Linked DNA regions of Ovis aries. The protein of the gene in region 7 purifies or fractionates together with the protein of the main gene of each other region. This does not show direct contact. Links are inferred from orthologs where the notes say so. Each region holds a gene or a part of one and is shown on either strand. Other genes may lie near its edges. The genes, in order: SDC2, NOLC1, ACIN1, ZC3H18, PNISR, PNN and CAMKV.

What was found.
Region 1: the proteins of CAMKV (region 7) and SDC2 purify together in Homo sapiens (affinity purification with mass spectrometry; 3 studies listed by BioGRID and IntAct, counting the BioPlex papers as one, with this or other methods). This does not show direct contact. The link is inferred for Ovis aries from reciprocal best matches to the Homo sapiens genes CAMKV and SDC2.
Region 2: the proteins of CAMKV (region 7) and NOLC1 purify together in Homo sapiens (affinity purification with mass spectrometry; 3 studies listed by BioGRID and IntAct, counting the BioPlex papers as one, with this or other methods). This does not show direct contact. The link is inferred for Ovis aries from reciprocal best matches to the Homo sapiens genes CAMKV and NOLC1.
Region 3: the proteins of CAMKV (region 7) and ACIN1 purify together in Homo sapiens (affinity purification with mass spectrometry; 3 studies listed by BioGRID and IntAct, counting the BioPlex papers as one, with this or other methods). This does not show direct contact. The link is inferred for Ovis aries from reciprocal best matches to the Homo sapiens genes CAMKV and ACIN1.
Region 4: the proteins of CAMKV (region 7) and ZC3H18 purify together in Homo sapiens (affinity purification with mass spectrometry; 3 studies listed by BioGRID and IntAct, counting the BioPlex papers as one, with this or other methods). This does not show direct contact. The link is inferred for Ovis aries from reciprocal best matches to the Homo sapiens genes CAMKV and ZC3H18.
Region 5: the proteins of CAMKV (region 7) and PNISR purify together in Homo sapiens (affinity purification with mass spectrometry; 3 studies listed by BioGRID and IntAct, counting the BioPlex papers as one, with this or other methods). This does not show direct contact. The link is inferred for Ovis aries from reciprocal best matches to the Homo sapiens genes CAMKV and PNISR.
Region 6: the proteins of CAMKV (region 7) and PNN purify together in Homo sapiens (affinity purification with mass spectrometry; 3 studies listed by BioGRID and IntAct, counting the BioPlex papers as one, with this or other methods). This does not show direct contact. The link is inferred for Ovis aries from reciprocal best matches to the Homo sapiens genes CAMKV and PNN.

The regions. Positions count from the first base shown.
Region 1 is NC_056062.1:80,505,150-80,508,816, forward strand, and holds part of SDC2 (syndecan-2), read right to left. Parts: intron 1,332-3,667; coding exon 1,195-1,331; intron 1-1,194. UniProt on the Homo sapiens protein: Cell surface proteoglycan which regulates dendritic arbor morphogenesis.
Region 2 is NC_056075.1:22,593,350-22,597,809, reverse strand, and holds the start of NOLC1 (nucleolar and coiled-body phosphoprotein 1), read right to left. Parts: upstream 2,802-4,460; 5' UTR 2,780-2,801; coding exon 2,660-2,779; intron 75-2,659; coding exon 19-74; intron 1-18. UniProt on the Homo sapiens protein: Nucleolar protein that acts as a regulator of RNA polymerase I by connecting RNA polymerase I with enzymes responsible for ribosomal processing and modification.
Region 3 is NC_056060.1:21,576,731-21,580,871, reverse strand, and holds the start of ACIN1 (apoptotic chromatin condensation inducer in the nucleus), read right to left. Parts: upstream 2,933-4,141; 5' UTR 2,861-2,932; coding exon 2,414-2,860; intron 867-2,413; coding exon 801-866; intron 1-800. Other genes in the region: C7H14orf119 (uncharacterized protein C14orf119 homolog), read left to right, coding at 3,626-3,651.
Region 4 is NC_056067.1:13,379,048-13,383,447, forward strand, and holds the start of ZC3H18 (zinc finger CCCH domain-containing protein 18), read left to right. Parts: upstream 1-1,434; 5' UTR 1,435-1,590; intron 1,591-4,400.
Region 5 is NC_056061.1:37,643,512-37,647,178, reverse strand, and holds part of PNISR (arginine/serine-rich protein PNISR), read right to left. Parts: intron 2,080-3,667; exon of another isoform or gene 2,076-2,079; 5' UTR 2,049-2,075; coding exon 1,961-2,048; intron 333-1,960; coding exon 144-332; intron 1-143.
Region 6 is NC_056071.1:46,897,152-46,901,456, reverse strand, and holds the start of PNN (pinin), read right to left. Parts: upstream 2,872-4,305; 5' UTR 2,792-2,871; coding exon 2,679-2,791; intron 2,025-2,678; coding exon 1,953-2,024; intron 1,577-1,952; coding exon 1,508-1,576; intron 711-1,507; coding exon 638-710; intron 522-637; coding exon 427-521; intron 262-426; coding exon 186-261; intron 1-185. UniProt on the Homo sapiens protein: Transcriptional activator binding to the E-box 1 core sequence of the E-cadherin promoter gene; the core-binding sequence is 5'CAGGTG-3'. Capable of reversing CTBP1-mediated transcription repression.
Region 7 is NC_056072.1:50,432,805-50,437,210, reverse strand, and holds the start of CAMKV (caM kinase-like vesicle-associated protein), read right to left. Parts: upstream 2,931-4,406; 5' UTR 2,779-2,930; intron 1-2,778. UniProt on the Homo sapiens protein: Does not appear to have detectable kinase activity.

The DNA.
Region 1 (3,667 bases), on a different chromosome or scaffold from region 7:
CTAAGTGAAAGAAGCCAATCGGAAAAGACTACACACTACGTGAGTCTAACTATGCAACATTTTGGAAAGGCACAAACTACGGAGACAGTAAAAAGAAATCAGTGGTTTCCAGGGGCTGGGAGGGCAGGAGGAACAAACATGTAGGGGAGAGAGGACTTTTAGGACAGTGCAGTTATTCGGTAGGCTACACTAATGGTGGATACATGCCCATTAGAAATGTGTCAGAACCCATACAAGGTAATACATCACAGTGAGCAAACCCTAAATTAAACTCTGGATTCTAGGAGATTATGACCAGCCAATGTAGATTCTTCCTCCTTGGAAGAAAAGCTATGACAAACCTAGACAGCATATTAAAAAGCAGAGACATTGTTTTACCAACAAAGGTCCGTCTAGTCAAAGCTATGGTTTTTCCAGTAGTCATGTATGGATCTGAGAGTTGGACTGTAAAGAAAGCTGAGCGCTGAAGAATTGATGCTTTTGAGCTGTGGTGTTGGAGAAGACTCTTGAGAGTCCCTTGGACTGCAAGGAGATCCAACCAGTCCATCCTAATGGAAATCAGTCCTGAATGTTCATTGGAAGGACTGATGCTGAAGCTGAAACTCCAATACTTTGGCCATCTGATGCGAAGAACCACTCATTGGAAAAGACCCTGATGCTGGGAAAGATCAAAGGCGGGAGGAGAAGGGGACGACAGAGGATGAGATGGTTGGATGGCATCACTGACGCGATGGACATGAGTTTGAGTAAACTCCAGGAGGGAAGCCTGGCGTGCTGCAGTCCATGGGGTCGCAAAGAATTGGACACAACTGAGCCACTGAACTGAACTGAATGGATTCATCAGTTGTAACAAGTGTACCTCTCTGTTACAGGATGTTGATGGTGGGGGGGGGGGCAGTTGAACATGTGTCGGGGCAGGTGGTATACAGGAACTCTCTGTGCTTCCCACTCAATTCTGCTGTGAATCTAAAACTGCTTTGAAAAACAAAGCCTATTTAACAACAACAAAAAAACAGTAACTGGCAAATGTCAAAACGATCATGAAGAATAAGGAGGAGCCATTTACAATATAATGAAAAGACCAGTTGTCCTTACACAGTTTTAAAAGGTGCCTCTTAAAAGGAACATTCTGTACAATTTTTTAAAAAGGCACATTGACCATAACCTGATGACGCGATGTGAAATAAAACACACCTTTGTCTGAGCAGGGATCTTGTCCTGTATCTTGCTCAGTGTTGTGGTTTCCACTCTCGGAGCAGTACTAGTGAATGGTATCTTTGGAATGGGCCGAGACGTGGTCAGCTCTGGACTCTCTCCATCCTCATCAGCTCCTGGGAGAATAAGCAAAGATGAGCTAAGCACATGAGTCATGACACAGAATTCTACAGTATCTGGCTACATGGTCTAAAGTTGATAATGACAGAGCCATGTTTTTTCACAATACCTACTCCTCAGGAACTTAGCATAAACCTTCCTGCAGTCTTCAGAGTCTGAAAAAGTGACTTCAAAGTGGATCTGTGGGGAGTCTGGCGTTTTTTTCTATATTATTATTATCCCGAATGTTCTCGAGTAGCCCTTTTAAAAACAATTTATTTATTTGGCTGCATCAGGTCTTAGTTGTGGCATGAGGGATGTTTCATTGTGGCACACAGACTCTCCAGGAGTGGCCTGTGGGCTCAGCAGTTGGTGCACCCGGGCTCTCCGGTTGCAGTGCATGGGTTTAGCAGCTCCATGGCACGTGGGGTCTTAGTTCCCCAATCAGGGATCGAACCGATGTCCCTTGCGTTGCAAGGTGGATTCTTAACTGCTGGACCACCAGGGAAGACCCTCAAGTAGCCCTTCTTTTGCTTGTGTGTTCAGTCTCCTCTCCTCAAGAGATTGCTTCCCTTTGATGCTGAAACATGCTATATTTTCCATTTTCCATCACAACAACAAAGAAAAGGGAACACCGACCCTGTATGTGAGTGAGCTGCTGCACTTCCTCCCCCATTTATAGCCAGACTTTCTCAGTGGGGTTGTGCAGACTCACCAGCTCCTTCCCACACCACCTATTCCACTCTCTGCTCTACTCCCCCTAGTCAACTGTTCCCGGTCATCGCACTGCTGGCACTGTTTTCTTAAGGTCACCATTCCCCTTCACGTACTGTATCCAGTGGCATTTTCCAGAGTGGTCCTCATCTAATTGAACCTCCTAGTATTACTGGACGCTTGTCAACTCTCACCTCCTTTCTGATGCACTACCTTTGGGTTTCTATGACTCTGACTTCCTGGCTTTCCTCTCACCTCTCTGGCTATTTCTAAGTCTCGTTTGCAGATTCATTGTCTTCTACCTGGACACAAAATATGAAAAGTTCCTTAAGGCTGAGCCCTAGGCTGCACCTTACTCTACACTTTCTCTCTCACCCATGGCTTCTGTTACATCTAAATACAAATGAAACCCAAACTAACCCAAGTGGTTCCCTTCTACCACTCCTCCAAAATTTAGACCTACATATCCACCAGCCTACTTGGCATTTTCACATGAATGACTCAAAGGTAGTAAATACATCTCGGTCACGTTCAAATAGAACTCATGAAACAGACCTGCGGTTGCCAGGGGAGAGGCGGTAAGGAGGGAAGGATTGGAAGTTTGGGATTAACAGACGCAAATTATCATACATAGAATGTATAAACAACAAAGTCATATTGCATAACACAGGGAGCTATATTCAATATCCTGTGATAAACCATAATGGAAAAGAATATTGAAAAAATATACACAACTGAATCACTGTCATACAGCAGAAATGAATACGATATTATAAATCAACTACACGTCAATAAAATTTTTAAAAACTAGAACTCATGATTTCCCTGCCTGTCCCTCTACAAACGCAGTCTTTTCTCCTCATGTTATCTGGCAGTTAGTGGAACCTTTTGTTCCTGTAAATCACAGCTCTGGCTCCCTCCCCTCTTCCTCACCACCACACTGAATCTATACCCAGTTCTATGGATTTTACCTTCTTTTTACGTCTCCACTCTTAACACCTTTCTAGGGTTCCTGGGCTTCCATCGCCATCCAGTCTTTCCATAATCACCATACCTCCCTTCTTCCTCATTTCCTTCCAGTCCTCTGTGCACAGACGGGCTGCAACCCCATCACTCTCCCGTTTAAAACTGTACCAGTGGCACTCCACTGCTCTCAAGGTGAATATGAAATGCCGCCACCTCTTCTTGTGTAGTCCGGTCCTGGCCTACCTTTCTTTCAGTTTCCTTCAGCATCATTTATCCTGTTATCCCCTAGACTCCAGCTGTGGTCCCCTGATCTTCGGCCAGAAGTCTCTGCCTAGTTAATTTCTAAACCTCACCTCTAGACGTTAGCACAAATGTCATTCCTTGGAGAAGGGCTTCCTTCCACATTAGAGTCTTCATCACCTGCTTATTTAGCACCACCTGTCTTACCCTAAGACTGCACTTATCACAAGCTTCCTATGGCTGAGGGACTGCATTTGATTGGCTCCCCACAAGAGTGTCTAACAAAATCCCAACACCCCCAGGGGCTGGCCCAGTATCTGTGCGGTAAGGACTAACCACTGACTTCCAACTGGCACTATGTCTTTTTGTTTGTTCATTTTGCCTTTTTACAAAAATAACACTTGAGAATTGTTCACATTCAAATACAACATTC
Region 2 (4,460 bases), on a different chromosome or scaffold from region 7:
GGCAAAGAGAAGACTTACTTGAGCCAGAAACTATAGATATCCAAGAGGGAAGAGGCGTTGGCATCCTGCTGGGTCTATAAGAGAAAAGACAGAGAAAGCACGGTAAGAAAGTTTTATCCTGGTTATTCTATGGGAGTTCAAATTTTGTGTTACTCTCTCATTAAAAGTCACTTATTTTGTCTGCTCTATCTGATATAAATGTTACATCTCTGAAGGTTTCTCCTACTTGTATAAATTAGGAGAAAAATATTCTATTTATGTATTTCCAAATTTTCGGTAGCAAAAACTTGGGTTATTCCTGTAGTTTCTGGCATCATCTATTCCCCTGCCTATCAATCCTATTTATCAAAGCCTTTAAAAACATGCATTCCATTAAAAACACTGCTTTATTCTAGCAGTGTACTATCCAGGAATTTATCCTTACCCATGAAACAAATACCTACACAGGAAGATATTTGCTGCAACTTGGTTTATAATTCCAAACCACTGGAAATCAACCATCAAGAGAAGATTAGTAAAAATCTATGCTAATTATTCAGGAAAAGGCAATGGCACCCCACTCCAGTACTCTTGCCTGGAAAGTCCCATGGACAGAGGAACCTGGTGAGCTGTAGTCCGTGGGGTCTCGAAGAGTAAGCAGGACATGACTGAGCGACTTCACTTTCACTTTCATGCACTGGAGAAGGAAATGGCAACCCACTCCAGTGTTCTTGCCTGGAGAATCCCAGGGACGGGGGAGCCTGGTGGGCTGCCGTCTCTGGGGTCGCACAGAGTCGGACAGGACTGAAGTGACTTAGCAGCATGCTAATTATTCAGTGCAGAACTGCATTCAGCTGTTAATTACACTGCTTATGAATTATGAGTTGGTGTTCAAAAAAAATGGCAAGGCATTACAGTATATACGAGAGTACAGGCTCAAAGTTAGATGAAATGTGAAACTTACTTCTGCTGGTTAGTAATGTGTGACCCTGAGTAAATCACTTGATCTAATACTGTTTTTCTTCCCTTTAAGATAGATAATACTATAAAGCACTAAGCTGTTGAGAGAATGAGATAATGCACATAAGGGGCTTAGCATCTGGCCCTTAGTATGCCCTCCACAAAGATTAGCTTTTGTCACATAAAAAAGATTTCTGATTCTTTTGAAAGGCCCAATTCCATCCAGCCGGATGTGGAAACACTCTCTGCAGCCTCTAACAGTCAATGCAAAACAGTTCCAATATGAAAGCAGCTCTATCAGATCACATATGGCAGGCCGTCTCAGCTTAAGGAAGCCCTTTGAGGCTGATCTGACTTATAACTTGTGTAACCTGATTCTACCACAAAGAACAAGCTTATCTTCTTAATCAAAGACTAAGACCACTAAGGACTACCATATGAGCTTCCCTGGTGGCTCAGATGGTGAAGAATATGCCTGCAATGCAGGAGACTCAGGTTTGATCCCTGGGTGGGAAAGATCCCCTGGAGAAGGGAATGGCAACCCACTCCGGGATTCTTGCCTGGAGAATCCCACGGACAGAGGAGCCTGGCGGGCTAGAGTCCATGGACTCACAAAGAGTCATACACCACTGAGTGACTAACACTTTCACTTTTAAGGACTACCTCACCACTCCACTCTATCTTCAAGGTGTTTTTTTGTGCAGTCTTGTCTGATCTCTTTGAGATGGAGATTCCAAACCTTTCATATTCCTGGTCATCTTCCTTTTATTTGTTTTTTAAACATCCTAAGGTACCATAGCCAACATAACAACTTCCACTCATTGATGCTTTCTGAGCACCAGGCACTGGTATTGCCACTTTGCATATATCATGTTATTAAAACTCACAAAAATCCTATAAAGTGAATGATGGCATGCTCATAGAAGTAGAAACAGATTCAAAGAGATTAAGCAAGCTGCCTGGATCATACACTTTTAAAGTGGCAGAGACTGTTCCCAAACCTACACTTGTCTGATGCAGGAAGTCAGAAATTCCACAACTGCTTGATGCTCAACCCTGCTTCTACTCCCGTTCATTTTTTTCTTTAGTAACAAAAATCCCAGCTTTCATTAACGGCTTCCCCGTGGCTCAGACAGTAAAGAATCTGCCCGCATGAGGGAGACCCGATTAGAGCTCTGGGTCTGGAAGATCCCCCGAGTAGGGAAAGGCTACCCACTCCAGGATTCTCTCCTGGAGAGGACCCTGGTGAGCTTCTCCATGGGACTGCAGAGTCGGACACGACTCAGCGACTAACTTTCACTTTTTTTCAGTTTTCATTATTTCTAAAGCAATTCTATTTGAGTCCTGGGTAAATTCGTTTGAGAGTTAAACTCAAGTCACGCTTGGCACTACCAGGAGCCTCTAATGCCTCCGGTAGGACCAGGCGCTCCCGCCCGGTCGCACTCTGCTAGCTACGTGACCTAGGCCACGAGGGTCCCACGCTGCCACCGCCTCACCTCTCACCAGAAAAAAGCAAGACTCAGCGCTAAGTAGCCAGACCTCGTGGAAGTGATGCCAAGACTCCAGGCTTTCCACCAACCGCCGAGAGCTCGGCACAAAGACCTGGCAGTCATTAGTCAGGCGGACCCCGCACACTTCCCTACCTGCAGACTTAAGCATGCCAGGGCCCGCAGCCCTGTGGTGATCCCACCCCAGCCCATGATCCAAGCCCCGGACTCACAGCGCCTGTTGCCTTGACGAATTTATTGGCCACGCTCGAGAGCTGGTTATCTCGCAGAAAGCCGAGCACGAGGGGATACAGGTCGCTGGGAACCACGCGGCGTAAGCCGGCGTCCGCCATCCTCCGGGTAATACGCGTCACTACCGTCGCGGACGCACACGACTCAAGAAACCGGAAGAGGCGGCCTAGGGGCGGACCCACGCAACGTCCTCGCGCTGCGCGGGACACGCCGGAAGGGGCGGGCGCACTCTCGGAGACAGGGTAAAGGCGAAATCCATGGACGCTTTCCGGTCCCACGAGTGTCGCCATCTTGGAAAGGCGGAGCCCGCCGTTCTGCTTTGTGAAGGCGGAGCCCTTACGTCAGAGGTCACGCCTTTGGTGGCGGCGGGAAAGCTTCGGACTTCCCGCGCCTTGCCTTCCTGCTGGAGCCACCTTTCTCAGTGCAGCGGTTACCCGTAGCATTCAGATATCAGAGTAAGGCGTGGGTCGGCGGGCCTGAGCTGACCTTGAGTTTTCTAAACTTGGTCACATATCCCACCGTCCCCTATTTGCGCTGCCAGTGGATTCCCACTCTTCCCCATCTTCACTTCAACACCCTGGAAGGCCCTTTCTCAAAATACCACCCCAACCTCTGCACTCCCAACTCCATTACCGAGGGCCCTTCAGATTATCTGTGGTAGTGGTGAGGTATTGATCTTCAAAACTGTCCACCTCAATCTTGACTTGCCCATGAGACAACTCTACCCTCCCTTATTTACACAGCTTCACGTCAGCTTCATGAAGAGAAAAAGGGGATGTGCAATAAACCCGAGCGACAGCAGCAATCTCTTCAAACGGATAATCCTGAAAATAACCCTTCTACTTCCTGGGTCACAGTCCACACTATGAATCCTCCCCGTGGAAGAACTAGAAAACCCCTCAACTGCCTCTGTCATGAGTACTCAAATTTATCAATGCCCAGGCCTATTAAGTTAATTTCAGGTTCTCCATATTTCAGTTCACATTAGCAGATAGCAATCCCTACAATCCTGTCTACTAGCCCTAGACTATTTCTCCTTCATGCCCCTCAGGGAGGTAAGGGTTCACTTTCTCAAAGGATACACTTCTTTGCCTTTCTCAAAATAGGCATTCCCCTGTCCTTGGTATAATTCCTGTATGTCCCTCTTTCCTAAAGGTCTATTCACTTGCATGCATTCTTTAAACATCTGAGCACCTGCTGAATGCCAAGCATTGTGCTCACGCAATGGTACACACAAGCCTCAGTTTCAAAAACCTTTATTTACAACAGGTGTGAACTTCCTCTGGGTCCCTGATATTCAAATTCCTTCCCAGACCAATAGCACCACGCTTGTTGGAAATGCAGAATCTCAAGGCCCACCCCATAACTCAGAATCCGCATTTTTAAAAGATCTCCAAATTTAGCTACCCTTTCAAAGTCTGAGAAGCACTGCCCTAGATGACTGATTTCACCTACAAGACTCTTGAAGAGCAGTTTCAAGTCCAATAGGATTCTGCACCTAACTGAAGAGGGGTCCTAGGAATCAAATGGAAGTAAGAATGTCCCTGTTGGGTTCAGAGAGGAAACATGACTTCTGTGGCACCAGCACCATAGAAAAAAGCACAACAGCACTTGGCAGTTCTCTCTAGTTCATGTTTATTAGTCTGCCTCAACCCCATCCATCTTACACAGGAATGCAAGTTAATGTGTTTCAAAGCCTATTATAAAAAACAAATACCACTTAAAATCTGATGTATTACATTTTTATTTCACTTTTTTTCCATTTCTTTAGAAAACAGTCAT
Region 3 (4,141 bases), on a different chromosome or scaffold from region 7:
TGGATTTTTCCTTTAAGTGCGTGGCACACTATAATGAGGAAATGGTAAAGCTGAAAAGAATCTTAAGAGACTACATAGTCTAACATAAAAAAAAAAACTGGGAATGGTTTCTTTCAAAGAAATCTTATGCAGAAACTCAATGCTATTCTAGCTTAGGGGGGAAATGTGAACTGCTGCTCACTTGGAAAGAAATTTCCTGTGGGAAGCCTCCAAAAGCATCTCCACAAAATCTCAGCAGTTATAAAACTATCGATCTAGTTCAACCTTTTCTCATCTCGGATACAGGGAAACTGAGGAAATCAAGGTCTCCAAAGGTTAAGTTTCTTGCTGCAAGTAACAATGCTCAGGAATGACTCCATAGTTAATATTAACACTGATAATGGTGGATGATCCCCAAAGGATTGATTTCTTGGAAAATTTATGTCAACACAAGAATTCTTCTTGGATCAGGAGGTATTTTCCTATACTGCCATGGTGACTGTCTACTTCATATCTACAAGGACATCAACTACTTCTCTCAAATCAATGTCAAATAAATGACTTCAGACCCTTGCACTCCACTTAATCAACTGGAACCACATCTTTCTGCACACACCATTTCAAGAATCAAAAATTAACTTAGAGCTCTTCTGATTCTTGACTTCTTTATTAGAATTCAATTGTCCCAGTAGGAAAACATTTTCAACCCAAGGAACTTAGGAAAATACTGGTGAGAAACCAAGCGCCAAACATACAACATCATGTCCTTCCCTGTCTCTGTGCATTCAGAGTTCACCCCGGTAATGAATCTTCTTTCTTACCTGGGAATTTGGCTGGAATGCAGCATGCGGGGTTGAGTGTTTTTGTAAATTTTCTAGCATTAGAGCCTGGTATAGAGAAGGGCAAAAGTCAGAAACCAGGAAAAACAAAAGCAAAAAATACCCCTCCCCCAATCTCTTCATCAAATGCAATGACTAACCATACACACTTAAACTGTACTTTTCCAAGGACCTAAATGCCCTTTACTAATACTGTTCTCATTCTTCAGAAGACCCTTAAAGGTAGCCATGGTTACTGCTACCAAATGTACAGATGTAAAATGCAGGCATATTGAAGAAATCTGGCTATGCAATAAAATCTGACAGTACTACAATCGCTATTGTCTTCTGCACTTCTGACTAGTGTTCCTTCTAAATCTGGCCCTTCACTTCAAATACTCAAACCAGGTTCAAACACATGAAACCATGATTTTGTCCTCAGTGAATTATTTGATCAGTTACCCAGATTAGATCTACTCAAATGAACTTGTATTGTTTCCAAAAGAGTGGCAACTAGATTTACCAAATTTATAAACACACACACACGAAACTGTCAGCTTCAGTATAAGCAACGGTCTGCCAACTTAACCCTTGAGCCAACCCAGCCCAAAACCGTACTGAGTGAGTGAGTGAGTGAAGTCGCTCAGTCGTGTCCGACTCTTTGCGACCCCGTGGACTGCAGCCTACCAGGCTCCTCTGTCTATGGGATTCTCCAGGCAAGAATACTGGAGTGGGTTACCATTTCCTTCTCCAGGGGAATCTTCCCGACCCAGGGATCGAACCCGGGTCTCCCGCATTGGAGGCAGACGCTTTAACCTCTGAGCCACCAGGGAAGCCCCCAAAACCGTACTAGTGGTCACGTATCCTAACTAACGCAAATCAAAATCAAGAGATCCTCACCTTCCCTCCATTTACACCAAATAAACACACCAATTCATCCGTCTACCTCTTGGCAATCCCACCCTAATCTACTTAAGCAGATTCAAAATCCCCAATACATACCAGCCCACCTCACCTCTCTCATCAATATTCACCAAACTCTTATCCACCCAAATTGCTTCAGGATGCCCTATAAAATATACACTTCTGGCTAACCAAGTCCCTTCAAATCAAGGCTTCTCTTCATCTCACCTCCTAATCTAGTCAAGCAGACATTTTTGCCCTACCCCAATTCTATTCATTCGGATACCAATAACCAACCCCATCAACCCCTCCGGCCAACTATACCCCTAACTCCGACCCAGCCCAACTCGCCCCCCTCAGGCCAGCAACGCCGGTGGTTGTAGTGGGATTTAACTCCTTCTGCAGCGCATGCGCCGAAACCACAGACACAAACAAGGAGGGGGTGGGGGAACGAGGAAGGAGCTTAAGACACTCCAGGAGAGTAGCGCGCACCCTCCCATTTTGGGCTCGCGCCGCTACCGTTAAGGCGGGAACCGGCGCTATTTCTACTCCAGCGCGAGCCTCGCCAACCACCGTGCGCGCGGATCCGGAGGCTCGCGCTGGCGGCCTGAGCTCGCTCGCGCCGAGCCCGGACACTGCGCCTGCGCCGCGGCAGAGACTCGGCTCTACCGGGTCCGCTTCCCTCCGACACCCCGGCAACGCCGTCTCCTCACCCCTTTGAGCCGCTTGACCAGGGCACTCTTCTGCCCGCTCTTGGCTAGGCCTCGCTGCTCCAGTGCGGCCTTCAGGTCGGTCACCCGCAGCGCCTGAAGAGGCTTCCCGTCCAGAGTCACCTCCTCCAGCTCCGCCATCTTGCGTGAGGTACTCGGGTCCGTCCCGACGGCTTCGGGCATCTTCGGTAATTTCCGCCAACGCCCTTCGAACGTACCGAGTTGGCCCCGCCCACTGCCATAGTCAACCCCTCGATTACCACTCAGAACTCCCCGGGTTCCTCCGGAAGTGCTCGGGTGTTTCCGTCTGCACATCGGCACCAATTGGTTCTTTCCAGCCTCCCAGCCTCTCCCCGCCTCCCGCATCCTGCTTTCAGAGCTCGGTTCTCTTCGTCTTACCGAGGTTTTGAATCGAATCCGTTCGGAAGCTGTCGACTCTGGCCTAGCCATAATCGGAATTTTTCGGCTATCTCCGGCCCTAAGGCTGAGGCGCTGTGGAACTTGGGTGTTTGGGGCGGGTCCGGGGCCGGAAGTGCGTGGGCTGCCGGGTTGGCCCTCCTTAGGGTTTTCAGGAAACATGGAAGCGGCCGCGATAGTTGGAGTCTAAACCCTGTTGTGGCGGTCTCCGGGTGCCCTGTGAGAGAAAAGGGGAGGTAAGCGGGGTAGAAGTACCTCCCTCCTTGGGCTGGGCAAGACTCAGTGTTTGCGTGCTACCCTTAGTGTGGCAAGCCTCCAACTCTTCTACGGATACAGCTACCGCCTCCCATCTTCCGAATCTCCGCCACTCCCATCTAGGGCTGTGTTGCTCTTTGGGACCTCGGAATGCCAGATTCCGTGGCCTCCAAAGTGGAAGGTGGCAGCATAGTGTCTTTGGACCTGGCCTACGAACCAGTTCTTGATCATTGGACTTGAACTTGCCATTGAAGCTATGTCGCAAGACTCGGGAAAAGTTCTCCCTTTCTCTGAATAAGAGAATAATATTCCTTTAGGAAGAATTGCTTCTTGTAGGGCCACTGTGAAAAAGAAACCTCCTTGAGCTGTTTTGGTAGTGAACTGATGGTAATTGCTTCTGGGTTCCTTTGTCAGTAGAAACGCTCCAGCTTAGAACAGAAGAAACACAAACAGTAAAATATGTCGTAAACAAGTTGTTTTCATCGAGATTCAAACTGTGGAATTTGAGAACTATTCAAGCTGGTTGACCTCCCAACTGCATTAATGATGCTAAGGCCGGTCATCAACAGGTATTCTATTAAACACGAAGAAAAGTGTTCATACATGAATTGTCACAGCAGTATAACACTTGCTAGGTCCCTAAGCCAGCAAACCAACTAGACCGTTTTCTCAGTCCTTAAAAAAGAATTGGCTGCTTTTCCTGTTTTTCTTACTCTGTTATCTCATTTTGGACAAGGCACCCTCACTAACTCTGCTCTTCAATTTTTCCTGATGCTTTACAGGAAATATAAGAAAATAATACAGTTATAAAGTTCTTATTTCAGAGGCTACATGCACATTGCAGAGAAGGCTCTTTCACTGTATAAGATTTTCTCTCTCTTTTTTTTTAACCTACTGTTGATAGCTCAGAAAGGATTAGCATCTGGGTCCTGACCAGCTGCTTGGTAAATTAAAAAATGTATACCTTTTTTTCATTTTAGGGAAGATATATTGGACCAGTATTAATCGTTGATTTTTTTCTTTACTCAACCTAGAACATAGAATTAGGTGGGACAGAAT
Region 4 (4,400 bases), on a different chromosome or scaffold from region 7:
CCATCTGCTATTCAACCACTTCCAGTTTACCTTGATTCATAGACCTGACATTCCAGGTTCCTATGCAATGTTGTTCTTTACGGCATTAGACTTTACTTCCATCACTAGTCACATCCACAAACGTGTTGTTTTTGCTTTGGCTCTGTCTCTTCATTCTCTCTGGAGTTATTTCTCCACTGATTTCCAGTAGTATATTGGGCACCTACGGACCTGGGGAGTTCATCTTTCAGTGTCATATCTTTTTGCCTTTTCATACTGTTCATGGGGTTCTCAAGGCAAGAACTCTGAAGTTGCTTGCCATTGCCTTCTCCAGTGGACCATGTTTTATCAGAGCTCTCCACCACGACCCGTCCATCTCGGGTGGCCCTACACAGCATGGCTCATAGTTTCATTGCATTAGACAAGGCTGTGGTCCATTTGATCAGTTTGGTTAGTTTTCTGTGTTTGTGGTTTTCATCCTGTTTGCCCTCTGAGGGATAAGGATAAGAGGCTTATGGAAACTTCCTGATGGGAGAGACTGACTGGGGAGAACTGGGTCTTTATGGGCACAGAGGGTGGGAAAAGGAAGCTAAGAGGGTAGGTTGCTCCTACAAGGGTGCCTTACTTTAGGAAGGGGAGGGGTCATATACAGGTCATCTCCCTAGTGCTGATCAGACTGTTGGGTTGCAGACTAATGGGTTTAAATTTCCACTCTAGGGAGAGGCTGCAATATCAATTAGACTTGATAGGTTTAGCATCTAAGTGATTAGATCTTGGACCTGTTGATACTTTTTAACCGCATGAGGATTAGCTTAAAACTTTTAAGCTTTGACATTTAAACTCAGTATCAAAAAATGATTAAATTTTGTGTTGGACTGATTATATTTTATAAAGCAAGAGCTATTTAGTACCACAGAAATAGTTTCTAAAACGTTTAAACTTTGACATTTAAACTCAGGTTTTCGAAAATGATTAATTTTGTGTTGAACTGATATTTTAACAGAGGGAGCTATGTAGTCCCTAGTAAGCAATGTAAAAGGTCTAAGTTTTGTTATTTAAACTCATTTCCCGAAAAGGATTAACTTTAGGCCGGGGGCTCTTCAGCAGGACTGGAGAAGGTAAGCGCTGAGCCGTGACGTCGCGGGACCCAGCTATGCCTGGTCGGGTACAGCGGGAACAGCGGACGGCTAGTCGGGAACCTGCGCCAGTACTTCACGTGACCACGCGCCGCGGACATCCTTCCTCGCACCTCGATGGGCGGTGCGCGCGCTCTGAGACCCGCCCTAGGGTCGGGGCCCCGGCCGCGCCTGCGCCATGACTCGGGCGGGCGCGCCCCGAGGGGGCGGGGCCGCACGGGGGCGGGGGCGCGGAGGCCGGAAGGAAGCAGGTGGGGGGCGTGGCGAGCGAGGGAAGCCCGCCGGCCCGCAGATAACCGTCGCGGCCTGATGACGTCGCACAATGGCCGGCCCCCGCGGCTAGTGGAGCCCGTTTGTTCCGCCCGCGTCGTGCCTGAAGCCGGAGCCTGGGAGCAGCGGAAGGGCCGAAAGACGCCTTCTCCGCGCCGTCCCGACCCCTGCGAAGCCGTGGCCCCCTCTCTGCCCTCGAGCTGAGGTAAGTGGTGGTGGTGGCTGGGAGGCCTGGCCGGCGGGAGAAAGAGGCCGAGGCGGCCGGGCAAGGAGCGTGGCGGCGGCACTGAGCCGAGGCCCGGAGCCTCGCCGCCTCTGCCTCCGGGGAGCACTCCAGGCTGCCCCCGGCCGAAGCGTGACTCTCGGGCCCCGGGAAGAGGACGCTGAGCTAGGCACGATCCCAGGTTCGGTCCGGACGAACTGGCCGGGGGTCCTGAATCCCTCTAAGCTCGAGCGCCTGGCGGCTGCCTCCGCACTCCGTCGTGGGGTTGGTCTCCCGAAGCTGTCATTTCTCTTCCGGGACATTCGCGTGGCACTGCTTTCCGCCCACAAAGATGGGGGTGCGGAAGGAGGCACGCAAGTTCGCCCTCCGGACTGAGAATAGGCTCTTTGGGAGCTTTGAGCTCTCTGGATCCTCCTGGAACTTGCTCCCTCGACTTCCCGGGCGGCACAGGTTGGATCTATTGGCTGTGCCCCAAGACGCACGCCACTCTGGAATAAACTTCCCTGTGCCCCTTTGGTTGAAAGCCCATAGGATGCCGGGTCATTGCTGGGAGAACCTAAGACTTAAAAACTTCCCGCCTTACTCCTGCTAAAACTTAAGTTTTCCTGAATACTTTATGACAGCTGAGTTTGCTGGATAGAGTGGTTGATCATATTATATGAGCTGTTCAGCTCTACATCTGTGAGAGCAGGTCAGTCTTTAGATCCGTTTGGGGAGAATGGAAGAAAAGTGCGTTTAGGGGCATAGCAGTGGCTTTCATCCTTTCTCCTTCGTGTCGCCTGTGGAGTGGTCCTGTCCCAGAGCAGAGGTTGGGATTCTCAGGGTGAAGCTGGACCCAGGCCAATTCCTGCTTCCCAGGCAGGGGCATTGTTGCCTGATGATGTTACAATCTGAGCACAAGTGTGGAACCCACCCAGCTCTGGAAACCAGTCACAAATGTCCTGGAGGCTAGAATTTCTCTCCAGTTTTTGGTGGGTAAGATAGTTTTATGAGACCATTCCAGAGAGCAAAGGAGGTGTTTTCCTTTTTCACAGATCATCTCAAGGTGAGTGCTTCCTCCCTGAGAAGTCGTTTGGTTCAGGCTTAGTCTGTTTGGGGATGATGTCTATCCCCAGTCTTGACATCCTTCTTTTGGATATTGTAAAGCTATGAAGTTATGAACATGAATTTTAACCAGATGTACCAGAACTTGGGCATTCAGATAGGGACAGCTCTATTAAAAATTGTTGTCCTGGAAGGTTAGACTTGTATTTCATTGGTGCTTTTTTGCCAGAATCTCTTTAGAAGTCCTGTTTAGGTAGTAAATATGCAAGCCATAGGAGAAAAATCAACAGTCACACCACATGTTTGACCCGAAATCGTCTTACCTGGCTTGGGAACTCACCTCACTTAACCAGACCAGGCTTTGAATGGCTTTCTGCTGACCCACCTTGAGGGAGGGAAGATTTGCTGCCACTGAGAGTGCCCGGGGATTGTATTGCATGTTCTAAAGTTCTCTCAGAAAAGTTCCCAAATGTTCTGTATTTTAGCAGTGCCCTTGGAGTCGGGGTGCAGCCTTCCAGAATGACCTCTGGAAAAGGAGGCAGCACCACTCTGTCTCAGTTCCAGAACAGTCTTCTAAAAAGTAGACACTTATTTCAAGTTTCTTTCTGGCATGCAACAGGTAATTTACAACCCAAGGAGACTCTGTGATTTATTTGACAAGCATCTGTAAATTTCCATCTGCTAGTGTACTGCGCTGTGGAGACACAGTGATGGACACTGTTACTCTCTTTTCCAGGCAGTTTCACTATCTTGTGAATCAAAGGCCTAAAGAGTTATAAACTTTGCCAAGAATGCCTGACGATAGGGTGATTGTGTGAGAAGAACACACTAAGTAAGTGTTGTGAGCCTGGGAGTTGTGAAGACGTGCCCAGAGGACCCTGTGTTTCACTGTGTACACTCAGTAGACCACATGTTTTCCTGGCTCCTGACGCATAGCACTTACTCACATAATTGCCAAGTTGAATTAATCTTGGAATAGGACACTGATGCCCAGAGAACCAGTTAACTCTCCCAGAGTGGGCCTAAAACACAAACTGCATTCTGACCCCTAGCGGTAGTCCCCTCCTGCCCAACAAGATGTCACTCGGGGTGCTTCTGATAAGTCAGTTCTTTGGTATGTTTTCCTCTGCAAGCTGTTCACCTGGATGTAGCCTCAGATTGTAAAATCCCAGGAGATTCCACAGGGAGAGAAAAAGTGAGTCTCTTTCCCCAGGAGAGTGTCAGGGCCGCCTGCGGGTGACTGTGTGTCCTGGTGTGCCTAGGAAGGCTGTGACTCGTGCCTGTGGTAGTTGTCAGCAGTGCCCCCAGGTTCAGACAGTAAGTTGTGTGGTAGCATTTGCTGAGTTCAGAGGACCGAGGAGAGTCTGAGTCCTTCCACTCACGCCCTTCATGGGGGGGATGTCTCCCAACAGACTTTGCAAACCGATAATGGCAGTATAGCGTGGTGAGTGTGGGCATATGGTAGAATACTACACAACATACTCAGGGCAGTGGTTCTCAGTCTAGGGAGGTTTTGAACTCCCAGAAATGGGAGATAAATTGCTTATGTCCAGGTTTTTCTAGGGAGAAGAGCCATCCCCTTCCTCAGATTCTCAAAGCCATCTGTGCCCTTCCCCACCCTGCCGCCAGTGGAAGGCTGATAGCACTTGTCCACCTGGATTGAAGCAGGTGCACAAAGGGCCTTTTGCTAAAAATAGCTCTTTAGAGGAGGGAAGATAGCTCTGTGCTTGGGGAGGAGGGTGAAGTGA
Region 5 (3,667 bases), on a different chromosome or scaffold from region 7:
TCAAGGTCAAATCTAACTGAAACTACCTAGTCTTCAAGAAGTATTCAAGAAGTCATAAAACTAAGCAGATTAAACAATTTACTTTTATTCCTCATTTTATTTTAAAATTAAGTCCTAAAATTTGGAAAACATAAACAACAAACCTGGTTGCCACATTCTGTTAAAGTTTGAATCCCCTTGGAAATTCCCATGATTATTTGGACCAGACTCCATTGTAGACATATCCTGTCCATTTGGCATCATTCCTGGTGGTTGTTCTACCATGCTTTGTTGTCCTGAAGCTTCTCTTTGGGCAATCCAAGCTTGAGCCAATGCAGCCCAGTCAATCTGGCCTAACAAAATTTAACACAGCAGAATTTGACATTCAGAATGTAGGAGCTAAAAGAACGTGCCTCTATGTAAAAGAAGCATTTGACTTAATCTTTACTAGAGATTTTAAATATTATAGAATGTTATAGTGGAAAAAATGCCTAAAAATAATGCATATGCAGGTTACAAAATGACTTAAGACACTCAGAAAAGGACTTTACAAAATAACCAATTTCTAGTATTACTCCTAAGAAAATGTATTCCCTGTACCTTAGTTCACTGAATTTTTAAACTCTTTTTAAAAATCACTATAAGAACAAATGATTAAACTCACTCTTTCTCAGACAGGTCCCATTCAGGTCTACACTGGATCCTACACACCTCAGGTGAGTATAGCTAGCTATTTCTGTTCCTTCTCAGTCACCTTTGTTTAGCATCTTTAACTCCTTTCTCTAGTCAAAATATATCTCAACAACTTCTTACTCATTTTTATTCAAAATTCATTGTTTCCTCTATCCCCATCAAAAATCTATAGCTTTTACTCATGTGATTAAAGTGACTGGAACTGTACATACATGTGGTACTACCCATGTCCATTTCCTGGTTTTCGTGTTATAACATAAACATGTAAAATGTAACCACTCAAGGAAACAAGATAAAGATTACATGAGAGTCCCTGTAATCCCTTTGCAACTTCCTATAAACTTATAATTATTTCATAATAAAAGTTTTAAAAATCATAAAAAAAAAACTATAGCTAACGTTTTAAGATCTAACAGTATTAATAAAGTAAACAATGTAGACTAAGACACAGGCTTTTACATCTCAGTTTAGCTAAGATTAAATAAATATATTCTCATACATTTTGACAAAGGTGCAGTTAAACTTGGTAATGTATATCTAAAACTTTAAATGTACAACTGTGATCTATCAAACCTATTTCTTAGCTTTTTTTCCTAAGAAAATAACTGGATAAGTAATAATGGTATGTATACAAAATTAGGGGAATGTCTTCAAAAAGTCAAGTCACAATCAATCATCTAAAAGTAGATTTATTACAGTACAGTCCTATAACAGAATGCTCTGTAGCTATTAAAAAAAAAAAGAAATAGGAAAGCATTAACTCAGTAAACACAGGGCAGTAGAAGAGGTCATACCAATTAAGCAAAATTGGCTATGAATTAACGACTGTTAGAACTCAGTAATAAATGGGGGATCCCTATACCCTTTTCTGCATCTATATAAGTTTGAGATACTTCATATTAAAGAGAGGTTTTAAAACTATATAGTATACCATCAGTTGATTATGATCTACACAGAATCTTAAGACTCAGAATTAACAGCAGAAATATGATTAACTTAAGCAACACATTTAAGAAAGACTTTCTTCAGAAAACAAGAACTAAATCAGTTTTAGAAATATGAAATCTATACAAAACTTTCTACCCTTTGAAAAAATATTCCAAAGGGAAATCCATTCCTTGATATGTATGCTAGGTTAAGATGATTCAAGAGAAAAAATTAAAATCCAACCATAAAATGACCCAATAAACCAATTTCAATTCTACCTCCCTTAATCCTTGTGCCTATCTTCCACCCATTTCTATATAACTCCCTACTCTAGTCCCCAAAATTCAATTTGTTTCCTTACTTGGATCCTGCTGGTGCTGGAATGACTGCATCCATTGTTGTTGGTTCAAAGGCCACTGCTGCCAAGGTTGTCCTCCTTGATCCCACATCCTGACTTTTAAAATATATCTGTCTTTCTGTCTTCAAAAAATAGTTTAACAAAGAGAGAATGAGTGTTATTTAATGTTAAAAAAGCTCACACATCAGAAATTATTATATGATTTTACATTTATGTCATCAGAGCTCTAAAATTCTGCTCAAAAGGTTGCCAGAAGCAACTGGAATTTTTTGGTTGGCAAGCAAGAATAGAAAATTTCATGTTAATGCTGGTGTCAAGAGTTTGGAGGAAAGCATAGCTCTAATCCATTTAGCTCAAAGGGGGAAAAATCTAATTTTTCTAATTTTTTCTAATTCTAATTTAATTTAAAATCTCATATAAACCTGTGGAATGTAATTATTTTGAAGATTGTAAGAAAAAAAGGTTTATCTATTTAGCCTCCCATAATCCAAGACTTACTGAAGAGGGTTATCAAATAGTTCTAGTTAATGAAAGAAAACCATGAACGCAGAAGGTAGAATAGATTTAGAAAGCAGTCATACTGTCAAACCTAATAAAAACAGCTGATTCACACAGTCTTAGAAGAAAAGTTGATGGGAAATCAAAAATTCAATGAGACACAATATTATGTCCCCATAATTACTATTTTCACCAAAAATGTTTACCTGAATCCAACTGAGCGAAAGTGAAAGTCACTCAGTCGTGTCTGACTCTGTGACCCCATGGTCTATGCAGTCCATGGAATACTCCAGGCCAGAATACTGGAGTGTGTAGCCTTTCCCTTCTCCAGGGGATCTTTCCAACCCAGGAATCAAACCTAGGTCTCCCACATTGCAGGCGGATTCTTTTCCAGATGAGCTACAAGGGAAGCCTAAAATATTGGAGTGGGTAGCCTTTCCCTTCTCCAGAGGATCTTCCCAGCCCTGGAATGTGGAAGACCTGGGTTTGATTCCTGGGTTGGGAAGATCCCCTGAAGAAGGCAAAGGCTACCCACTCCAATATTCTGGCCTAGAGATTCCATGGACTGTATAGTCCATGGGGTTGCAAAGAGTTGGACACGACTGAGTGACTTTCACTTTCCAGTGTGAAGGAATTACAAGGGGACAAGAGTATTGGCTAAACAGTATCAAAAGAAACAATCAGACAAATCTACAAGGTGAGACAGCCCACAAGACAAGGTTTTTTTTTTGCCACATCATGCAGCTTGTGGGATCTCAGTTCCCTGACCAGGGACTGAACCAATGAAACCTAGAATCCTAACCACTAGGTCACCTGGAACCCCCCAAGACCAGGTTTCTTAATATATAATTAAGATGGAAAAGTAGGGGGGAAAGACATATGTTAATAACTATTAAATCTAGGTGATGAGTACGGGGACAAAACTGTAAACTAGCTTGAAAACTTTCACAGTAAAAAGTTTTAAATGCCTACAAGTCATTTTTATACTTTTTCCAACTCAGATATACAACCCTGTTCAAGAATCAATGACACACATAGTAGGCAGATGTTTCTTCATTTTTGTACCCCAGGCCTTAACATATAGCAGGCATTAAATAAATATTTATTAAATGCATCCTTTCAGACCCTTTCCTCTATTCTAAGAACAAAACTATTTCTTAGTATTGCACAATCACAAAAAGTATGACAGCCACATATTATGGAAGTAATAAC
Region 6 (4,305 bases), on a different chromosome or scaffold from region 7:
GAAAGTTTTAAGTTTTTCCTTAGCTTCATTTTAGGCTGGCAATTAAATCTTTTTCCCTCCTTAGGAAATATCAGTTCATGTTGTGAATTTTGCAATTAAATCTTAAGTTTTTTTTAAACATTTAACACATAATCAACTACTTTGACAGGTTAATAAAGGAAGCAAAAGAAAAACTGCATAAATACCCTTTCGGTAGCAACAGTGGACTCTTGTTTAAATTTCTGAAGGGTGCCCATCAACAAGCCAAATATTCGCCTATTCCTAAAGAAAAGAAAAACAAAATCCAGTTTCAAAACATTCTACTTCATTTAAACCTGCCATGTCCTAAAAGAAGCACAGTATAGACACTTGAACAATTCCTAAAATTTTCTTAAAACTGCATTATTTAACAAGAGTTGTTTTCCTCCAGAAAGATACTTAAGATACCTTTGCTTTCCCTTTTCATCCATATTTTGATCCTGGATAAGGTCTCTGCGCGTGCGCTCTTTGGAGGTAGCTACAACTGAAGACTGCAAAGCTGGCTGCAGGAGAAAAGAAATCTCAGTAATTCAACTAACATACAGGTAGCACTCTACTAAATGTAGTAAGGTGAAAATACTATATTCACCCTCTATGAAGTTCTTTTAATTTCAATTACCTTCTTAACATCATCATCCTCTGGGTCGCTTTCTTGGCGTGATTCTCGTCGAGTCCGACGCTCCCCTCCCAGCCTGACATAGGAAAGGGAATTTTAAAAGGCCAATTCAAACTTTGATCTCCTACAGCTCCCAACCAGGGAGAAGGCAATGGCAGCCCACTCCAGGACTCTTGCCTGGAAAATCCCATGGGCGGAGGAGCCTGGTAGGCTGCAGTCTATGGGGTCGCTAAGAATTAAACACAACTAAGCGGCTTCATTTTCACTTTTGCATTGGAGAAGGAAATGGCAACCCACTCCAGTGTTCCTGCCTGGAGAATCTCAGAGACAGGGGAACCTGATGGGCTGCCGCAGTCGTGTCTGCACAGAGTCAGACACGACTGAAGTGACTTAGCAGCAGCAGCAGCTCTCAACCCAGTTAAGCTTTTGTAGTATAAGACAGGAAAGTAACACAGACAGACAATCTCCTCCATCTTATCTTTCTCCTGACCTTTACTGTGCTTTCTTTTTTTAGTTCTACCAGTTTACTGCTACCAACCCATCTCCCTCCAATCTCTATCATGCATGCGTGCTCAGTCATATAACCCCGTGGACTGCAGCCTGCCAGGCTCCTCTGTCCATGGACTTTTCCAGGCAAAAATATTGGAGTGGGTTGCCATTTCCTTCTCCATGTGCTAAGATTTCTGTTACTGCCATGAAGAACTGAGTTTTGAGGGATACTGGCTATCTCAGTTCAGTCAAATACCAAGTGAAAAGACTCAGAGTAAGTGATATACTACTCAATCCTAATACAACTCAATTCAACAATATTAAATATTTACATTCTACCTCATAAAATAAAGTATGCTTTCAGAATCTTGTCCTCCAACATACCTACTGACTGCCCCTTCAAGGTCTCTCTGTTTGGCTGGGGGTCCTCCTCCACTATCTGAGAATCCACGCCTGCAATAAAAATGTCCAACATAAAGCATATGAAAATTAAGAAAAATGGTTATTTCTATTTAAGAAGATAATTTAGTTGCTGTTATTAAAAACTCCTCTTCCAAATAAAGTAACCTCAAATGGACATTTACTTCAAGATGGATGTTCTTATAGCATTTCTTTTAGATCTATGAGAATATATTAAGTTTGCACATAACTGATATAGTTACCGTATTCTTCAATCTCTAGCTGTATGTAAATTAACCATACAGAGAACTACAGCTAATCACAGCTTCAAATCAAACTTTTCTTAACACTGGCTCTAGCAAGAAATTTGTTTAAACCGATTCATTAATTTAGTACAGTACCAATAGATTAAATTTTAAGGAAATCTTACCTCAGCAATAAACTACCACGTCCTCTACCTCCACCAGGACCAGAAAGGGCGAGCAATCTGGCTTGGATGGGCCTACAAAATAATTTACAAATCAGTTCAACAATCGTTTCTAACAGCACCAAACACTTCAACGGGTGCAGTTCACCATCAAGAGAAAATAAACAGAAAAGTTTCAAGATGACGGTTTCAAACCCGAAACACGGCAATAAGCACTTTACTAACTTCCTCGTTTTCCCAAGACCAGTTTCACAAAATTGTATTTATCTTAACACCACTACACGTTAACAGGCCTGAGTCAGGTTCAAATTTCACCAACCCAAAGAAAGTTGCACGTGGGCAAGAGCCGGAGGGTGAGGCAGCGGACCGCGTCCCCGGAAGGTCCCAGGGCCAGCCCTGAATCGGGTGGCCCGCGAAGGAGGAAGGCTTTGTGCTGCAGTTCCGGGCCTGCGGGGCCGAGGGCGGGAATCGGCAGTCCCGGCCTTCCCACAGGACCGGAGACCATCCCGGCGCACCCAGGCTCCGCTCTCCTTCCTCACGCACCCAAGACCCAGGACTTAACGCTGAAGGCCTTGGAAATTCCCACCTCACCGAGGACAGGGTCCCACGGCTGCCCGCGAACAGGCCTCGATGTTCCAGTCTTCTCAGGGCTGACCGCCCTCCCCGCCCCCAATTCACCCCGGCTTCACGGCCGCCTCTGGTAGCCAGCATTTCCCATCCACTCCTTACCTCACGTCATTCGGATCCCGCCCGGTGAGCTTGCGAATATTCTCATCCACATTCTTTAGGCTCTCTTTGGCCTTTTCTAGCTGCTCCTGCAAAGTTCTCACTGCGACCGCCATCTTCTCCCTGCAGCAGGCTTCGAGACTGCTCTATAGGCCGCGCCTGCCTGTGTCGCGCCGCAAGACGCCAGAAGACTGACAGCTGGGTTCGGCCAATGGCAAAAGGAGTTGTATTTCGGCCTCAACCACTCAGCAACCGGAAGGGGGAGAAACTGCCGGCCTTTGTGACTCTGGGCCAATGAAAAGTGAGGCAGGGGTCTCCTCCTTCCCCAATTAGCTGCGGGTGGCTGGGCTCCGCTTCTAGCGCAGAGCTGGGGCGGGTTTGAGTACCTGGGTCCTCGGAGACGTGGGTTCGCGGCCCAGCTCTTCTGGTGAGGAGAGCGGGGTCTTCCTGGCCCTTTTAACCTGTAGAGAACGTGCCTCTTATGATTTTACCACCTGATACCCTCAGAGTAGGGTTCAAGCGAGTCTATTTCCTCGTCTTCCCCCCAGTAAATGATTTGATTAGGAAAGGGTGCGGCCATTCCGTTGGTGCGCATGCTCAGAGAGGCGGTGGGAGGGGCGCAGACTTCTCTTGATTAGGTTAAACCTTAAAAGAGCGGAGGGAAGAGAGTGAAAGAAAAGTCATTCCTCCTAATAGCTAACAGTTATTTTGTACTCTGTGAAACACTTTACATACATTATCCCCTGCCGGGGGCAGCGTGAGGAATTCCGCCCATGGCAAAGGTCATGAGGAAGGAGGCTTGGCATACGCAAAGGCGTGATCAAGCCTCAGGAAACCCCCTGTTCCCGAGCATCTAACCCCAAAACCAGAGTCGGTTTTATGCTCTCACCTACACCTCTGACTTTACGGGGGGCTCTCCCCCATAACCGTTTCTCTCTGAGAAGGAGTAAACGTGCAGCTCCAAAGCAATAAAAATTCCTGGGCGTGACAAGAGTGTTTCAGCTTACGGACTCCTCTGAAGGTTATCTAGCCCACCTGTATAGGTTCGTCTGGCCACATGTGATTGTCTACAGCCTCCTAACCTGAGAGGCATGAGATGTTTTAGACTTACTAAAGGCAAATCTTTTGGGGAGTTAGAAATTATTAGTATAGTTGGTTAGGAATTATATTGGTGAAGGGTTTTTCATTTGTTGTGTCAATAATTGCTACTAATTCCCTGCTCTGGGTGGGACAGGGATGTCTCAGGTCAAACCTCTCTGCTGACAGACTAGCTTGTGTGACAGGATTATCCTTACTGCTGCCACTAGGCACATGATTGTTTACTACCTCTCAACCATAAACAGCACAGAGTTTTGGAGTATTTTGAGAGTCTTAATTAGCATAGGACTTTTTCTTCTTGTTGAGTCAATGATTGCCACCAGGCCTCCATATCCTTAGGCACTTGGGAATATATTAATCAATGTATTTGGAGTATAGCAAAGGAAATATAGTAGTTTTTGATGTTAGCAATACTAGACTTTTTGAGTTAATGGATGTTCTCTTTTGTAATAGATCACTGTACTTTGTTATATATCACTGTGTCCTTGCTGTGTAAGAATGTAACTTTATCATATCTTAAGACTAAATAGAT
Region 7 (4,406 bases):
GCCAGGAGGGGCCCAGGAGGCCTCCAGCAGCCTCCCAACAACTGTGGGCAACACCTCCCGATTTAGTGGCAGCTGTGAACACCAGCCTGCAGGCACCCCCTCCCCTTCCCTGCTGTCTACTTTCAGGGACCAGAGCTGGGTTTCCTGCTGTAATCCACATGCCTTGGTCTGAGCTCTGCCCAGCGTGAGGCAGACATTTCATCCACAGGATGGGTAGAAATAGAGACCTCGCTCTCAGGTCTGTGTCAGGAGGCAGAGTCAAGTTTCTCGTCCACCATCCAGCTGCTTTAGGTAACTGGGAAGGGGCCTGCCCTGGCTGGGCCTTGGTCACTAGTTCCGGCTGCTGACTATCTCCCATCTAATTAGAGCGCATGCGGGGTTGGGGAGAAGGCTCTCCAGTCTTGGGGTGGGCATACAATCCAGTGCTGTCTCCAGAAAGTTCAGCCTTCAAACATGCAGGCTGAGCCAAGAGCCAACTGACCCCTTCCAGGCACCCGGGTTCCAAGCTTTGAGCCCCTGAAGGAAAACCCACTGGCGGCCCCGCTGCCCTTTGAGTGGAGGAGCGGAAATGCTGAGAAGGCCCTGTGAGTATAGGGTTGCTATGGTGATGGAAGTTTTTAAAAGGGGGGAGGGGTAAGGAGAGGTGTTATTCAAACCCCTTCTCCAGGAATTCCCTGAGATTTTTGTCCTGAATGGGTTCTGTGACCCTGGTCTCCATCAGGGAAGAACTGAGAGACTTTAGGAAAGAGAGGGGCAGGGCCACAGAGAGACAAAGGCACAACCTGTGGTGGAAGGGGGGTAAAGAATTCATATAGTAAAAAGGACGCAGGCACAAGGACACAGGAGAAAAGGTGGGCTGGGAGTTTTGAAGGGGCCTATGGATGTCCAGCAGAGCCCTAATGTCTCCATGACCATGTGCTCTGCACACCTGGGCCAGGAGCTGCCCCTGATGCCTGGACCTGCCCCTGATGCCTGGACCTTTGAGACTGACCCCTCCTGTATCCCCCTAGACATGCACTGAACTTGGTGTGGGAAGAGGCCATCTGTTGTGGTCCCCTCGGTCCCAACAGTTCCTCAGCCCCTCTCCCTGTCACCAACGCAGCTTAGGTAAGGCAGTTCCAACATGCCGAAGGCACAGGCGTGGGGGATGGAATGAAGCTTGGAGACCTGGCTACTTCCCTTTGCAGCCCCTCTTGTCAGCTGACCCAGCTCTGCCTGGACGCACCAGCCCCCCCACCCCACCCCCATCTGCTCTTCCCTAGAGGCCTTGGGTCCCCAGGGCCTCTCTGGCAGCTCAGCCTCATTCCCTGCCACGGCTGCCCCCCTCCCCAACAGTGGATTTTGCCTGAAGGCCAGAAACAGCACCCTGAGCAGTCTAGAAACAGGAAAGCAACTGCACAGCATCCTCCCCACCCCACCAACTCTGCCTCAGTTTCCCTGGATGGAGATCACTGACTCTGTGGCCTTCTCCCAGGGCAAGGACTGCCCACCTGCCAGGACAAGGATGGGAGAGGAGGGCCAGCAGCTGATATGGGAAGAGGCAGCTGATACGGGAGGAGGAGGAGGATCCCTACCAAATACTGTAAATGAAAAGGAGAGAGACCTCTGCTCCAGCCCAGGGCCCAGCCTGACAGAGAGGGGAGCGGAGACACCAATTTCTCAGTTGAGGAAAATCGGGCCCAGCAGGTGCCTAAAGCTGACAGGAATTGACTGGGGATGGGGGACAGGGAGGACACCAGGTCCCTGCAGGTGGTCCTTGGGGGGCTCAAAGCCACCCTTGGAGGAGGGTGGCTGGCCAGAAGCTGGACTGCTGCAGACTGAGCTTTTGGTGATGGACAGAGAGCCCTGCTTCCTCGGAGGGAACCTGGTGAAGCAGGCTCTGCCTAGGGGGTGCAGACAAAAGCCGTTTGGCACAGCTATGGGGGGCTGGGAGAGCCTAGGGTCTCTGCCAGACGCTACAGGCGGGGGAAGGCAGACTCACTCTCTCATTGTTCACCCTACCAGCCGGGGGCTCTGCTCCCTAACCGTGCTGCCACCCTGACCCCCTTCCCCAGTGCTGCTGACTCGCCCCCGCTGGCACAGCAACACACATGCGGGAGGCACACGTGTGAGCACCAAGCCCCGCACCTCCCGGCAGAAACATGTGCGTCCCCCCACCCCCACCGCGCAGCGCTGGGTCGGTGTCCTGGACCCTCGGGGAGGCCGCCGAGTTAAGGCTCGGAAGCTGGATCTCGCCTAGGGGGCTGCTGGTCCCCAGGGGCTTGAGCCTCCTCCCCCACCCCGCGGCAGCCCCGCCCAGCCCCCTTCAGGTTGTCGCCCATAAAGAACTCTCGTTGTCATGGAAATTAGTGACTGCTTAGCTGGAGGGAGGGGGGGTCCGGGGGCAGTTGGGAGGGGCTGGAAGCGGCTTTGGGAGTCCAGAGGGACCTCTGAGCCCTCGCCCCCAACCCCCTGGGGCAGCTCAATGTTGGAAGGTTACTGTTTTCACAGGGAGACGAGGGGTGGGATGGGGGACAAGGAGGGGAGATTGGCCTGGACTTGAGTCTCAGAGGCTTCCCTTGGGACCCCCGAGCCGTCTGAGGTGATGGGGAACTTCAGCCCAACCCCGCACGCCCAGCCCTGGATCTGCAGAGCCCGCGTACTCTGCCCCCGCCAGGACCCCAAGCCGTTGCAGCGCCCCCGCGCACTCGGCTACCCAAACCTCGAGCCAGAGACCCAATCCCTTAAGACCTCGCAACGTGCGTTCCGGGGGCCCACCCCTCCCGGCTCACCCCGCACCTGCAGCGCTGGTCGGTCACTGGGAGGATGCGATCGCGGGTTCAGTGGGGGCGCCGAGGGCTACGGGGGCGGCGGGCAGAATCCGCTCCGGGCACGCGGGGCAGACGCGGCGCCAGCTGCAGCCACTTCGGCTCGCGAACCTCCAGCATCTCCCGCCGCTCGCCGGCACCGGATTCGCACCCCGGGCCGGGGGCGGGCTGGGGGCGGGGCCTCTCTCAGCCGGCTCCGCCCGGACCCTGGAGGAGCCAGAGCCCGGAATCCTACTCGAAGAAGGGCTGATGAGGGGTGGCAGCAGAGACGGTGGGCACTGGCCTGCGTGGCCCGGGCCAGGCTCTCGAAGGTTCCCTTAGGCACTCGGACTGACCGGGCGACAGGGACTGGAGGTACCTTATGATGGTCATTGTAGAGGGTGCGGCAGAGTAGAAGGTGTGGGGAGAAAGCCTGAGTCCTGGAACTGCACGGGAGTGTCTTGGCAGGTAGTGGTCTCTAGGGTACTGGCGCTCTGTCCAGCCCCCAAACTGAGTGAAAGGCGCTCAGTCGTGTCCATCTCTTTGCGATTCCATGGACTATAGAATCCATGGAATTCTCCAGGCCAGAATACTGGAGTGGGTAGCCATTCCCTTCTCCAGGGGATCTTCCCAACCCAAGGATCAAACCCAGGTCTCCCGAATTGCAGGCAGATTCTTTACCACCTGAACCCACCAGCTCCCAAAACCTGACCCAAAGAGCAGAACCCACTAAAAGAACCAACTGGGCAGTCGCTAGGGCAAGCTTCACTGTAGACTGGCCTCCCCTAGCTAGTAAACACATGGGGGGGGGGTGTGCATGCAAGCTAGGGCCCCAGACCTTGGTGCCAGTCTCTCTGCCCACCCTTCCGTCCCTTCCTGCCAAGTTAGAGCCTTTCCCATCTCCAAGTCCCAGCCAGGGTGGATGGCCCAGTCTGCCCCCTCCAGTGTGCCTCTGAATTTCTCAAGCTCTGAAAGTTACCAATGATAAGGGTAGACTCTGCATTCTTTCCCATTTAATCACCCTTGAGCACTTCCTGAGCACAATCACCCCTGGTGGCCTGGGCTAGGATACAGGGATACAAGAGAACTTACAGCCCCCAGAAGTCCCAGCAGACCTGCCCCCTTACCTGAGAACCTGCCCCCTGGCTGAGAACTGCCAGGAGGAGGCTCTGCAGCAAGTCCTTGGCCATTTCTCTGTGCCTTGTCATGGATGCAAGTGGACCAAATGCCTGCCATGCCACCCCCCACCCCCACCCAATCCTTAAGGCCAGTGTCTGAAGGCCAGACTTTGGCTTGCCTGGAGCTGGGCCCCACCTCACCCAAACCCTTCTGACCCCATCCTTGGTGGGGTCTTCTCCAAACCTTTGAGTGAGTCTCTCCTGGATGGTTCCCTGTGGCTGCAGTTGTCCAAGTTAGGAAGTTGAAGCTGGGGCTGGGGCTGGAAGTCTAGCCTGGGACATGACCACTTAAACAGGACCCATCAGTATCTTTCTCCTCAGGGGGTGTTGAGGAGCCCTTCACATCCTTCCCTGGCTTGGTCACAGCCTCTCGGCTCCCTGGGCTCTGGGTGGTCTCAGCCACCACACCAACTCCACCACTGGGGAGGACTCTCCTGGCGAG